3 linked regions of the Oryctolagus cuniculus genome follow. The protein of the gene in region 1 interacts with the protein of each later gene in a biochemical or structural test. Links are inferred from orthologs where the notes say so. Each region holds a gene or a part of one and is shown on either strand. Other genes may lie near its edges.

Region 1 (4,990 bases):
GTGCGCGCGGAGGGGTGGTCGCGGTTAGGGTGTCCAGGGAGGGGGCAGGGAGAGAACCCACGGTCGTGTTCGGTGCCGTGCCTGCAGCAGCCGTGGTTGCGTGTTTGAAGGTTGGTAGTGTCCTTTATACAGGCTGTGGTGCAGCCACACGGCCCAGCGTGGCTGTTTCCACGTGACGTGCCGGAGGAGCTGTCTGCTGGTCGGTGCCCATGGCTACTGGGCGCAGAAACTTTGTGTCCGGTCAAACCTTTTTCAAGTTCCTAAGCCATAAAGATTTCCCCAGGTTTCCTGTCACGGTTTGGGGTTTCCCCTGCAACTATATATGATCCCATCAGTTGGTCTTTTTCTCCATGTTTTTGATCGGAAACGGGAACAAGAGCTTTCTCGCTGCGGCTCGCAAATAAGTTAACGACCCGTGGGCCAGAAGCCTCTTTAGCTAGGACAACTTGGCGCGCTTTCTACCAAGTGTACCTGCCCCCAACTTGTTTTCCCCTGTAGAGCTGAAACAGGGTGAGGCTCAACCTCAACGGCCAGCTACTCGCGTCTGATGTGTTACTCCTCCAGCTATTCGCCTACGGTGTGTTACTCTTCCCCTGAGGGCCTCAGCTTAGAAAGCTGTGAGGTTGGCAAGTGAGTAAAACCCGCACATGCACTCCCTAAAGAATGCTGGCTGCATTGTTAACCCCCAGAGCTCCCTAAGGATGGTTTTGGGGGTTTTCCCTGGTCCCTTTCTGAGAGCTGTGCTGGGGACGGTGAAAAGTGCTTAGTGCAAACATTTTCTTAGAGTTTCTCAAAAGGGCCTGTAGCAACATCTGTATGCCTGTGTGGAGGATTATAGAACATGGTGGAAAACGCGGGCAGTAAAGTTCACACATTGCAGACCACATCGTTTCGAACCGTTTAAAAAAGACGTAACAACTTAAAGATTGAGCACCACACAGAACAGGGCACTATCCAGTTCAGACTGCGGTTTGCCAACCTCCTGGGAGATTCTAAAGAGAAAATGGCCTGTACATCGCTGCACAGCTTTCCACTGGCACAAACTAAAATGATTTCAATATGGAACTAAAGTTGCTTGAGCTCCTTTAAAATGCTGCCTGCTCCCCCCTCTTCGAGAGCAAACCCCGCTCCTCATTCCGACCTCATGGCCTTCGTCTCAGTTGTTTCAGGATCCTTTTCTGAACCGTAAGAGCATTCAGCCTCTCGAAAACTGCAGCTCAGCCTTCCACAGTCAGTATCCAATTCGTCTTCCAAAAAATGAGTCTGCAAAAACACCCATACTGGTCCACCCTGGCTGCTTACAGAAAAGAGCACTTGTGATCATGTAGTTCACGCAGTGCTGTCGGAAATCAGTGCAGACATTGGGAAGAACGCTTCGGAGACCAGACATCACCCTACATCTTTAAGCACTCGTGCGCTTATTAGGTTACTAGGCGACCTGGTTCATTTTTCATACTTGAGAGGTTGTTTTGGTAATGCAAATTATCTGTTAAATATCATGTCTATTTTAATAGATTTAAACCAGCAATTAAAGTAAGTATCCTAATTAGGAAATGTACAAAATTTAGAGTTTGATTTCAAGGAGTTGGATTCTAAAGTCAAGGGCTTTTCTGACCCTCCGGTTGCTATTCGCAACAATCGCTCTGAAAACCCAGATTTCCCAAGCTGAAAACCTCATTCCCTGAAGACCTCCTCGGCCCCCATAAACTGTCTTTACAGCCAGTTCGGTGTGACCGGCGTGAGGCTGCAGACAGCCAGCTGCGCACTCCCTGTGCTACTTGCTACAGCTAGAAACAATGTTTCCGTCCAAACCAAGGAACCCAGCGCCGCTCCTCTTCTAGGAATCAAAGGCTGACACTAGGAATAAACCCTTCTAAACGCTGTTCGCTGGATACTTGTTCGAAATTTATTGCAACTTGCAACTAAGTAGCAGGATACCGTCAGCCCAAGGGGTTCTCACCAAACGCCGCAGGGATTTTTAAGAATATCCCGCCTCCATTGCGCTCGGTTGACGAACCCACAAACAAGTCCGTGAACCTGGGGGCTGGTTTCCTCCTTTGGAACGCCTAAGCGTCAAATTCCGTGCCGATGTTTTCTGCATTTAATCGAATTTCGGGGACGAACAAACACAACCTGGAGACGCAGCCTCGAGCGGCGGCGGCCCGAGGGCGGCGGATTGGACGCTCCACCAATCACGAGGCAGCGCCGGCTTATATAAGCCCCGACCCGAGCGAGGCGGCATCGCCAAAACTTGTGCTCTGGGCTCCGCAGCGACTCCTGCCGCCATGTCGGAAGCCGCTCCTGCCGAGACCGCCGCTCCGGCGCCTGCCGAGAAGTCCCCCGCCAAGAAGAAGGCGGCCAAGAAACCGGGCGCGGGCGCGGCGAAGCGCAAGGCCGCCGGGCCCCCGGTGTCCGAGCTGATCACCAAGGCCGTGGCCGCCTCCAAGGAGCGCAACGGGCTCTCGCTGGCCGCGCTCAAGAAGGCGCTGGCGGCGGGCGGCTACGACGTGGAGAAGAACAACAGCCGCATCAAGCTGGGCCTCAAGAGCCTGGTGAGCAAGGGCACCCTGGTGCAGACCAAAGGCACCGGCGCCTCGGGCTCCTTCAAGCTCAACAAGAAGGCAGCGTCTGGCGAGGCCAAGCCCAAGGCCAAGAAGGCGGGCGCGGCCAAGCCCAAGAAGCCCGCGGGCGCCACCCCCAAGAAGCCCAAGAAGGCCGCGGGGGCCAAGAAGGCGGTGAAGAAGACGCCCAAGAAGGCCAAGAAGCCCGCGGCGGCGGCCGTCAAGAAGGTGGCCAAGAGCCCCAAGAAGGCCAAGGCTGCGGCCAAGCCCAAGAAGGCGGCCAAGAGCCCCGCCAAGCCCAAGGCTGTGAAGCCGAAGGCCGCCAAGCCCAAGGCTCCCAAGCCCAAGGCCGCCAAGCCCAAGGCCGCGAAGGCCAAGAAGACGGCCGCCAAGAAGAAGTAAAAAGCTGCGCCGTCTGGCCACCGACCAAGCCCCAAAGGCTCTTTTCAGAGCCACCCAGAGACCTCTGGAGAGAGCTGTCTGTCCACCCTTCGCTCGTGTCCAGCCAGGCTCGCACGTAGCTATGTGGGCTTCGAGTGCCCTACCATTCCACGGAGTGTAGTGTCCCCCCCCACTCGCCTGTCGGGGGTAGCCCTCGCCACCTGGCCCCGGGGGACGTTGGCTCTCCAGGAGCGGTTTCCATGGCTCTGAAAAGAGCCTTCGATGCGGGCACAAGCCGACGCGCAGCTTTAAGCTCGTTGCGGATGGTAACTGCAGGTGCGCGTCTTGTTGCGCACTGCGTAGCCCGCCAGCTCCAGGGTCTCGGCCGCCAGGTGCACGGGCGCCCCCCCCGCTCCGCGCGGTTGCCCTTGCGCAGCAGCCGGTCCACGTGGCCCACGGGGAACTGCAACCCGGCCCGGGATGCCGCGTCTTGGCCTTGATGCGCACCTCGCCTCTGCCTGCCGCGTCCGGACATAGTTAAACACGCAGCCGAAAGCTGCAAGTAGAAAGTAGATTATGTTGCTGCTTCTGCTGAGCGCGAAGAGGTGGCCGTGCGATTGGCTCCTGCGCTGTTTTCATTTAGGCCAATGGAATAGGGTGATGTAGGGTAGAGCCTTCGATTGGGTGACGCATATGTGACGCAGTCGCGGACAGCTAGCTGCCTTGTGTTCTGTGCATAGCGTCCCGTAAATGAAGAGCCGTGGCGGGCTCTTCTCGCCGCCCTCCGTAGGCTGGTTTGTCTTTGCGTCTCCCTCTTGCCAGGAGCTAGGCTGCTAGCTCACCACCAAGGGCCAGTGCAGGCGCATCCACGTACGTATACAAGGCACACCAGCAGGAGCACCCCGACGGCTGCCACTAGTCCTATGCCTCGGGCGTCATGACATCGGGGACCTAGCTTTAATCGGCACAAAGATGAACTAGTGATGCTGAAGTCGAGAAGGAGAATGAAGTTCAACCCAATGAATCCCCTTTTCTCACCAGTTAGGGAGGGAGGGTGGGTCCTCGCCGCTACCGCAGGTGCTGGGCCCGCCATTTACAGGCTGCCGGCGCCTCTGAACGCCTGTCCCTGTGGGGCCGAGGTCCTCTCGCCTCCCCCCGCCTCCATGCCTTTCCCGCGCGGTTCCTCTATCTGGAGTTCCAGCTCCCGTTCACGCTCCTGTTAATCTTTCCCTTTAAGGGACGGCGTTTACTGTTTTCACTTGGTCGCCGTTTTCCGTCTTTTGCGTCTCTGAATCGGCCCCAGGCTTCATTTCCCGCTACTCCCCCTTACTGTGTTTTCCGTAAGAAGGGAAATTGTAAACCAAAAGGCCAGGAGGCCTTTCCTCACGTGCAGGCTCGCAGCGTCCCGGCTGGCAGAGCATCTTGCCTTTGACGTTAAATTAATCGGTGTGGAAACGACGTTCTGCAAACTGCCCAACACCGTCACCGTGCGTGTAGGTATTGAGCTTCCTGTGGCTTCATGCTTCAGGAGTCTCAGAAGTGTACATCCTTTCTAGACTGCCTTTTCCTTTGTAATCCATTTCTAACCAGCATTGCCTGTCTCCTCTATCATGGCTGGCTTATGGGACTTTCACTAGTATCCAGCTTTGAAATCAGGAGACCAGTTCCTAACACATACGGCCACTTGAAGACAAAGAATTTGGCTTCTCTGAAGCTCAGTTTTATGACCTGGAGGAAACAGCAATTCATGGTTCCATGACTGACCTGAGGAGCAGTGAGAATACTTTTGGAATTAAATTGGCACATATTTTTCAAAAAGAGAAATCTTATATGAAAATTCACAGCATTTGAAAATTTTCTTGCACTAAAATAAACTTTTTGTTCTCATTTTTTAAAAACTTTTTGCAGCGCCTTCTATTTGGCATTTTCAATGTTTCACGCACCCCCATTTGCTCACCAACGTCACATTCAGCCCGTGCGGCGCTGGCTGTGCTGTGTTTCAGTTCATTTCCACTTCCAAAGCTACTTAGTGAGTGTATGCTATGTGC
Region 2 (3,797 bases), on another chromosome or scaffold:
ATGTTTTGAGCATCCTTTTTTTTTCTTTTTTGTTTTTTGACAGGCAGAGTGGATAGTGAGAGAGAGAGACAGAGAGAAAGGTCTTCCTTTTGCCGTTGGTTCACCCTCCAATGGCCACCGTGCTGATCTGAAGCCAGGAGCCAGGTGCTTTTCCTGGTCTCCCATGGGGTGCAGGGCCCAAGCACTTGGGCCATCCTCCACTGCACTCCCGGGCCACAGCAGAGGGCTGGCCTGGAAGAGGGGCAACCGGGACAGAATCCGGCGCCCTGACCGGGACTAGAACCCGGTGGGCCAGCGCCGCAGAGCATCCCTTTTTCTTAACCAATAAACAGACACAAAATGAGGGCTGAGTTTAGAATGTAAATAAAAGCTTTTGCTTGGCTGGCGCTGCAGCTCACTAGCCTAATCCTCCGCCTTGTGGTGCCGGCACACCGGATTCTAGTCCCGGTCAGGGCACCGGATTCTGTCCCGGTTGCCCCTCTTCCAGGCCAGCCCTCTGCTGTGGCCAGGGAGTGCAGTGGAGGATGGTCCAAGTACTTGGGCCCTGCACCCCATGGGAGACCAGGAAAAGCACCTGGCTCCTGCCTTTGGATCAGCGCGGTGCGCTGGCCGTGGCGGCCATTGGAGGGTGAACCAATGGCAAAGGAAGACCTTTCTCTGTCTCTCTCTCTCACTGTCCACTCTGCCTGTCAAAAAAAAAAAAAAAAAGTTTTTGCTTGTCAATGTGAGAAAATTTAACATGCTAGGGCTGTAATTCAAGAAATGGTCATGAATCATTTAGAATTATGGCAGAAGCAGCAGCAGCAGCAAAGAAACAGGCAAGAAGGCACCAGGCACGGGGTAGTAGACTTTCACTTTAAAACAGGGCAGAAAATTCTCCAGAATGATACCCCATGCAAGTTTTAGAAACCTTTACTGCCTCAGGAACTCATGTTAATAAAGTAAAAGCCAGGCACATAAAACAAGAACCAAGTATATAAACATTCAGATGGGGGCTTGCGCTGTGGTGCAGCAGGTTAAAGCCCTGGCCTTAAGCACCACCTCCCACATGGGCACCAGTTCAAGTCCTGGCTGCTCCTCTTCCAATCCAGCTCTCTGCTGTGGCCTGGGAGAGCAGTGGAAGATGGCCCAAGTCTTTGGGCCCCTGCACCCACGTGGGAGATTTGGAATAGGCTCCTGGCTGTGGATTGGTGCAGCTCTGGCCGTTGTGGCCCTCTGGGGAGTGAACCAGCAGATGAAGACCTCTCTGCTGCCTCTCCTTCTATCTCCGTGTAACTCTTTCAAATAAATAAATAAATCTTTAAAAAAATAAAAATAAAACATACAGATGACTATTATATACATTATTTAGATCCCCAGGTAAATCAAAACAAATTTAAAAATTACTTCCCATCACACCTTTTAGGTTACCCTGAAGTAGGAAGTAACCACATTCAAATGAGTTCAGCCATAAAAAGTAAAAAGGGTTACAACCTTTATTAAAAGTAAATGTAGTATAATATGTACAGGGGCACATGGTGCCAATTTTATTTGCAGATACAGTATTCCAACTCAAGTTTATAAGTTACACCTTGGCCACAGCCTTGGCTAAGTCTTGAACCAGTGCAGAATTCAGCTGGGCTAGAGTGCTGATCTTAGCATGCTTAGATGTGGCATACTTGTTCTTGATGGTCTGGAAAAGCAAACCACAAGGCATTAAAAATACAAACTCTGTAAAAATAAGTTATGCATTTACATCGTTTTCCCTGGCATCTTGCAACGCCACCGACTGACTCACCATGTGCTTTGTAAGCCCACGATTCACCATCACTATATTCTTAGCCAGGTGCTGCATGACAGGAAGGAGAGCTTCCTCGGTGTATGACAGGTAATGCTGTAGGGTTGGCGTCTGCGACAACGACAAATATGTGTCAAAAAGTGCTCAACAAGAAGATGTGCATAAAATCTCAAGATACTAAATGAATACTTATAATCGAAACTTTAGAATAAGCGTTAACACCTCTACCCCAGGTGCTTTTTTCTGTTCCTGGCTCAAACCTAATTACATTATTGTAACTGCCGACTTTTTTCTCCATCTGTAAGCAGTGACAGCTGTTCTACCTTTCTTAGAGGGGTATATAAATTCAAAATAAAAGCATGCTATGAAAAAGACATCACAAGATGGTCTTAGTCCTTCAGTCAGTTCCATATGTAAGAACTAATAGAATTGTTTCTTTATGACAAAGACTCTGTATTCAGTCAAACACCATTTGCAATTTAAAGCTTAGTAGTTCTGAGCTAATGCTTACCCATTCACCATTATCAAGAATTTTCAGTGCTAAGCAAAAGGCTCCTGCTGCAATCTGAGAAGGAGGAAAGTGCACCATGTCATAGTCCAGCATAGTCAGTTCCATCAGGTATTTGGCCAAAGTATGCTGCTCAACATCAACCTGGAACAAAGTCCATACATCACTTAGCTTCTCTCAGAGACTTTTTTTTTTTTTTGACAGGCAGAGTGGACAGAGAGAGAGAGACAGAGAGAAAGGTCTTCCTTTGCCGTTGGTTCACCCTCCAATGGCCGCCGCGGCCGGCGCGCTGCGGCCAGCGCACCGCGCTGATCCAAAGGCAGGAGCCAGGAGCCAGGTGCTTCTCCTGGTCTCCCATGGGGTGCAGGGCCCAAGCACTTGGGCCATCCTCCACTGCACTCCCGGCCACAGCAGAGAGCTGGACTGGAAGAGGGGCAACCGGGACAGAATCCGGTGCCCCAACCGGGACTAGAACCCGGTGTACCGGCGCCGCTAGGCAGAGGATTAGCCTAGTGAGCCGCGGCGCCGGCCTGAGACTTTTTTTTTGACAGGCAGAGTTAAGACAGTGAGAGAGACAAAGAGAAAGGTCTTCCTTTGCCATTGGTTTACCCCTCAAGTGGCAGCTACAGTGCGCACTGCACTGATCCCAAGCCAGGAGCCAGGTGCTTCTCCTGGTCTCCCATGCGGGTGCAGGGCCCAAGCACTTGGGCCATCCTCCACTGCACTCCCTGGCCACAGCAGAGAGCTGGCCTGGAAGAGGAGCAACCGGGACAGAATCCGATGCCCCAACCAGGACTAGAACCCGGGATGCCCGCGCCGCAAGGTGGAGGATTAGCCAAGTGAGCCACAGCGCCAGCCCAGAGACTTTAATGTTGACAAAAACCTGCATGCCCATATCTGTAACTACAAAATGCAATTGCCCATGAAGGTCTTACTATTAATTAACATACAACCTGACTGAAACAATTATTCTTTCCTTGTGCGGCTTGTTACTTAAATACAGGTGTAGCAGTGTTCTCTCGTTATCTGTACCTCTCCGATCTTAGATGCTCTCCGAAGGAAGTGTAAGGGGAGAGGGCGACCCAGGCCAAAGTTTAAAACTCTGAGAATCTTCATTTCCATCTGTCTGATTTGGTGCTTAGTGTAGGTGTTGTTAGTCACAAAAGCAAAGTCACCAATTTCTGGAGGGTACATTTCTTCATATTTGCTTGCAATAAACATGGCAGTGACACCAACCAGCTGCAGCATCTTCTTGGGCACACAATTGTCCTGCAATGGGAATTGCAACTGCTGAGTAGGTAATGTGTTTGAAAAGCAGACACAAGAGCTGTGAAGCAGAGGTGGGCAAAGACATACACTCATAGGGTGTCTCAATTATGACACCCTATGCCCCATGACAAATTTTAGCTGAAAAAGTCAGTTTCTTATGACTCTGCTAAGACCCTGAAGGGAGAACCCTCAATTAATGACTTATGCGCACCTGCATGAACCGATCAATTATGGAAACAGTCA
Region 3 (4,937 bases), on another chromosome or scaffold:
CCTGGCTCTGTAGGTTGAGGGCTGGGGCCCGGGCCTGCTGTGGTTGTGGTTGTGGTTTCCTTCCAGTGGCTTCTGACTGAGCAGCAGCTGTTCTGAGTGTGACCGTGGAAAGCTGGGGGACAGCCCGCGGGGCTGGGTCCTGCCTCACCCGGCTGAGGCTTCTCTCACCCAGAGGCAGTCTCCTCGGAAGCCACAGAGCCTGCGGGCAGTCAGGGGCCAGTGGGAGGTGGTGAGGAGCAGCACAGGCCGAGTTGCTTGTGTTCCTGGAGGTTGGGTCTGCCTGTCTGAGAAGTGGGTCAGTAGCCAGGGCTTCTTCCCAGGCTATTGGGTGGCTGGGATGGACACTGAAGGTGCATGGGAGAAGGATGGGGTGATGACAAGGGGACCCCTCCCGGCCCTCATCCCACAGGAGCTGTCATCAGCATGACGGCCTGATGCAGAGGAGGGGCTGCTTTCCATCTGCAGGAGGGGGTGACAGCCCCGAGAGGCCAGGGCCGAGGCAGACTTGGTGTCAGAGTCTTGTGCCTAAGCAGCTGGCCATCCTTTTGCCACTTGGGCTGCCCTGATCCCCACAGGGTACTTGCCCCTCCTTTATTTCTGCCTACCTGCCCTCACTTGGCACTCGTGCCCAAGCTGTTTCTAGGTTATCCTGCCGGAAAGCACAAGGCCCCAGGCAGGGGGACCCAGACCTGTGGTGAGCGGCAGCAGGGGCGGCCCCATGTCTTCCTTGCCTGCCGATTTGGGCCTCACTTAGCCCATGCACAGGCTAGAGACCAGCCCAGTGCACCTTGGGTTTTTGCTGCAGCTGTTACTGAATGCCCACCGTGGGCCACGCACCCCTAAGGCCTCGTGGGCACACACACCTCACGGCTGCACACTCATGCTCACATGCACCTGTTACCCCACGCACATAAACACACACTGTTCCGTGTGTCAGCCCACGAAGGAGCACGCAGCAGCCCCCAACCAGCTCCTGCTCTCTGCTGACCAAGAGGTTGTGAGCAGCTGGCCTGGGCTCAGGCATGAGCTTGTGTTTGTCTCTCACACCCACCCTAAGGAGCCAAGCCTGGGCAGGGGCTGTGCTGGGGTCTGCTGCTCCCCCTGGTTCCTCCTGGCTCTCTGGCTGCTGGCTGGAGAAGGCTGGCCAGGTCCACTGAGCTGGGCTGGGCTACAGGCTGAGGTCAGAGTTTCCTGTGAGCTCATCTGGGCTGGGTGCTCCCAGCAGATCTGCCTGCCACTCTTGCTGCCTGTCAGGGAGCTGGAAGGAGCCATCGCCAGGGCCAGGCCACTGTTCGTGTGTACTCGGATAGGGTAGGGGTACGTGTCTGCTTTTGTCCAGCTGCTGGGTCATGTTCAGGATAGAGTAAGTCCGTGTGTGTGTGTGTGTGTGTGTGTGTGCATTCACACAGCCTTCATTAAGGAGCACCTTGGGCTGGGAGCCCGTGTCCATGCAAGAGTGTGAGTGTACATGATGTTCAGGCTTGCACACCTGAGTGCCTTCCACAAACGGCAAGCTGAGAAGTCTCTCTGGTCCTCTCCTGTAGTGATTTGGGGGATGGTGAGGAACAGGGGAATGCGGGAACCAAGCTGTGTGACCATGTAAAGTGCTCTTGGCATTACATTCAACTTTTTTTTAAAAGATTTATTTATTTTTTGGCCGGCGCCGCGGCTCACTAGGCTAATCCTCCGCCTTGCGGCGCCGGCACACCGGGTTCTAGTCCCGGTCGGGGCGCCAGATTCTGTCCCGGTTGCCCCTCTTCCAGGCCAGCTCTCTGCTGTGGACAGGAAGTGCAGTGGAGGATGGCCCAGGTGCTTGGGCCCTGCACCCCATGGGAGACCAGGAGAAGTACCTGGCTCCTGCCATCGGATCAGCGCGGTGCGCTGGCCGCAGCAGCCATTGGAGGGTGAACCAACACAAAGGAAGACCTTTCTCTCTGTCTCTCTCTCTCACTGTCCACTCTGCCTGTCAAAAAAAAAGTTTTTTTAATTAAAAAATTTAAAAAAATATTTATTTATTTTTTACTTGAGAGTCAGAGTTACACATAGAGAGGAGAGGCAGAGGCAGAGGCAGAGGCAGAGGCAGAGGCAGAGGCAGAGGCAGAGGCAGAGGCAGAGGCAGAGAAAGAGAAAGAGAAAGAGAAAGAGAAAGAGAAAGAGAAAGAGAAAGAGAAAGAGAAACAGAAAGAGATGGTTCACTCCCTAATTGGCCACAACAGCCAGAACTGCGCCTATCCAAAGCTAGGAGCCAGGAGCTTCTTCCAGGTCTCCCACGCGGGTGCAGGGGCCCAAGGACTTGAGCCATCTTCTACTGCTATCCCAGGCCATAGCAGAGATCTGGATGGGAAGAGGAGCAGCTGGGACTAGAACCGGCGCCCTATATGGGATGCTGGCACTTCGGGCCAGGGCATTAACCTGCTGCGCCACAGCGCCAGCCCCACATTCAACTTTAAACTACGGTTTTATATGAGAGGAAAGTGAGCCTGAAAATGCGAGCAACCTTCCAGGCAGGCGGGCTCAAACTCAGAAGGGTCAGGGCACAGCTCTGCCTCCCTGGTCCCTGCACAAAGTGGATGCGAAGTCAGTGGGTTCCCAGCTGTCGGCTCTGGCTTGGCCTGAGTTTCAGTTTCATCTTGTGAAAAGCGGGCGTGCTCCTCTGGGCCCTGCTTGTCTGCCTGGGCAATTGTGAGTAAAGCAAACGAAACCACCAAGAGCTGCAGGGGTACCTGTCCGTGCCCAGCAGTGGCGCTAGTGGCTCCCCAGGTGAGTGTGTCTCAGGGTCACAGACTCCAGGGCCTCCAGCGCCCAGGTAGGCTCTGGAGAGGAGTGGAGAGGGTGCTCCCATCCGGGGGAGCTCCGCCAAGGGGGCGGCCATCCCAGAGCCAGCTGCCTGCATCCAGAGGGCCTAACGGGCATCGGATTTAGATAAAACTTGTTAATTTTCAGTTTGAGCCACGAGGACCAGTGCATTTTACACGTCTTGGGGTGTGAGAGTCCTGGGCTGTGGGTCTCTGAGGTCTTGTGAGGTTGTCCTCGCGGCCTAGCCTCACCCCTGTGTGTGTGTACCCTCCCCCACCCCCCGCAGGCCCCACCATGGCTCCCTTCCTGCGCATCTCCTTCAATTCCTACGAGCTGGGCTCCCTGCAGGTGGAGGACGAGACGAACCAGCCCTTCTGTGCCGTGAAGATGAAGGAGGCGCTCAGCACAGGTAGGGCGGGGCCTGCAAAGGGGCCTGGAGGAGGCCTTGCCTCATTCCCTAGGAGCCCCAAGGGGTCCTTCTGCGCTTCATCCTTTCTGTCCCCACCAGCTGTGGACGCAGGGACAGAGAGGCAGAGGCCAGCAGGTGTCCAGGGCCTGGAGCACCTGGTGAGACGGGACCCTGCTCGGGGCTTGGTTGTTTCCCTTCGTTGGTGCTTCTCCCCAGCAGCTTCCATGTGTGCACCCCTGCCAGGTCCTGTGCTGGGCTCTGAGGGCCTGACTGGCCTGCCTGCACATGGCTCACGCTCAGGCCGGGCAGCTGGGCACCTCCGTGGGCAGAAAAGCCCAGAGTAGGCCCCGTTCCAGCCTGGGGCCAGGGAGGGCCTCCTGCACGAGGCACACAGCTCACACGCTTCCCTCTTGCTTCTGCCCCCACTTGGAGAATCCCTGCTCACCCCTGAGGTCTCAACTGAGCTGTCCCTTCCTCCAGGAAGTCTTTCCCGACCATTAGGCTGGGGCAGGCCACGGGCATGACTGGGTGGGTCTGGAGCCGCTGTGACTTAGTGGTTACTTGAGAGATGGGTTGGTTCTTGTCTGCCCCAGGGCTCCGGGACCACAGGCCCTGGGTTTAGCTTTTCCTTCTGCGGCATTCCACACTCCCAGTGCTACGGCAGGCGAGCGGGAACTCTCGGCTGCGTTGCTGAGTGCATAGGGAAAGGGGACATTGAAGAGGCACGAGAGGCTCACGGGAAGAGGGAACAGCAGGAGTGCAGTGGGGCACACTCCAGGTGCGACAGGAGCGGCTGCAGGGAGTCCTCAGGGCAGAGGAGGCAGCGGGTTCGGCCAGAGCTGAATGCTGGGTGGGTGTGAGGGTAGAGAGGCAGGGGCTCCAGCCCGACCCGGCCCACTGCCCCTTGGCAGAGCGTGGGAAGACACTGGTGCAGAAGAAGCCGACCATGTACCCAGAGTGGAAGTCGACGTTCGACGCTCACATCTACGAGGGCCGGGTCATCCAGATTGTGCTGATGCGGGCGGCCGAGGAGCCCATGTCTGAGGTGACCGTGGGCGTATCAGTGCTGGCCGAGCGCTGCAAGAAGAACAATGGCAAGGCCGAGTTCTGGGTGAGTGTGTGTGCGTGTACGTGTGCGTGTGCATGTGCGTGCGTGCTCAGGCTCGGCACTACTGGGCCCTGTGCCCACCACCAGAGCTACTAGGAGCCCCCCACCCCCCACCCTCAGGGTCGTTCCAATGAAGTGCGCCACTGGGTGTCAGAAGCTGGTCGCAGAAGCTGACCCGTGGTGGGTGCTAAAGGAAGCTATCTTCATTGGTGATTGAGACCACTTTGCTTTGTTTTACTTTTGAAAAGCAAAATGTGATGCACATAGAATAGGACAGTTTCACGTGCAGGAGAGGGTGGCTCTCTGCCCCAGTACCAGGTCACTGGCCCCATTCCCAGAGGCACCCATTGTCTTGGTTCTTTTTGGAACTTTGGCAAACATTCCAGGCCCAGGCAGGCCTTAGGCCAGCCCTGTGAACTTTAAGGGCAAGGAGGTGGAGGGAGGGGAAAGCTGACAGCCCCGCCTACCCACCAGAACCCAGGCTCTGCGCACCTGAGTGTGGCCACATGGCCCATGCGGCTGTGATGGGCCTCTGGTGGCCACAGGACTCCAGCAACTGGCAGAACCCCCTGTGGTTACACGTGGGTTCTTACAGCCACGATGTTTCCACCGGAAAAGGCCTCG

What was found.
Region 2: of the proteins of H1-5 (region 1) and CCNB1, one has a biochemical effect on the other in vitro, tested with the Homo sapiens proteins (2 studies listed by BioGRID). The link is inferred for Oryctolagus cuniculus from reciprocal best matches to the Homo sapiens genes H1-5 and CCNB1.
Region 3: of the proteins of H1-5 (region 1) and PRKCD, one has a biochemical effect on the other in vitro, tested with the Homo sapiens proteins (2 studies listed by BioGRID). The link is inferred for Oryctolagus cuniculus from reciprocal best matches to the Homo sapiens genes H1-5 and PRKCD.

The regions. Positions count from the first base shown.
Region 1 is NC_091436.1:169,836,896-169,841,885, reverse strand, and holds H1-5 (histone H1.5), read left to right. Parts: upstream 1-2,229; 5' UTR 2,230-2,285; coding exon 2,286-2,963; 3' UTR 2,964-4,044; downstream 4,045-4,990. UniProt on the Homo sapiens protein: Histone H1 protein binds to linker DNA between nucleosomes forming the macromolecular structure known as the chromatin fiber. Histones H1 are necessary for the condensation of nucleosome chains into higher-order structured fibers.
Region 2 is NC_091445.1:90,151,880-90,155,676, reverse strand, and holds the end of CCNB1 (G2/mitotic-specific cyclin-B1), read right to left. Parts: coding exon 3,766-3,797; intron 3,555-3,765; coding exon 3,318-3,554; intron 2,430-3,317; coding exon 2,289-2,429; intron 1,889-2,288; coding exon 1,778-1,888; intron 1,673-1,777; coding exon 1,565-1,672; 3' UTR 1,453-1,564; downstream 1-1,452. UniProt on the Homo sapiens protein: Essential for the control of the cell cycle at the G2/M (mitosis) transition.
Region 3 is NC_091441.1:96,622,171-96,627,107, reverse strand, and holds part of PRKCD (protein kinase C delta type), read left to right. Parts: intron 1-3,082; 5' UTR 3,083-3,090; coding exon 3,091-3,205; intron 3,206-4,116; coding exon 4,117-4,316; intron 4,317-4,937.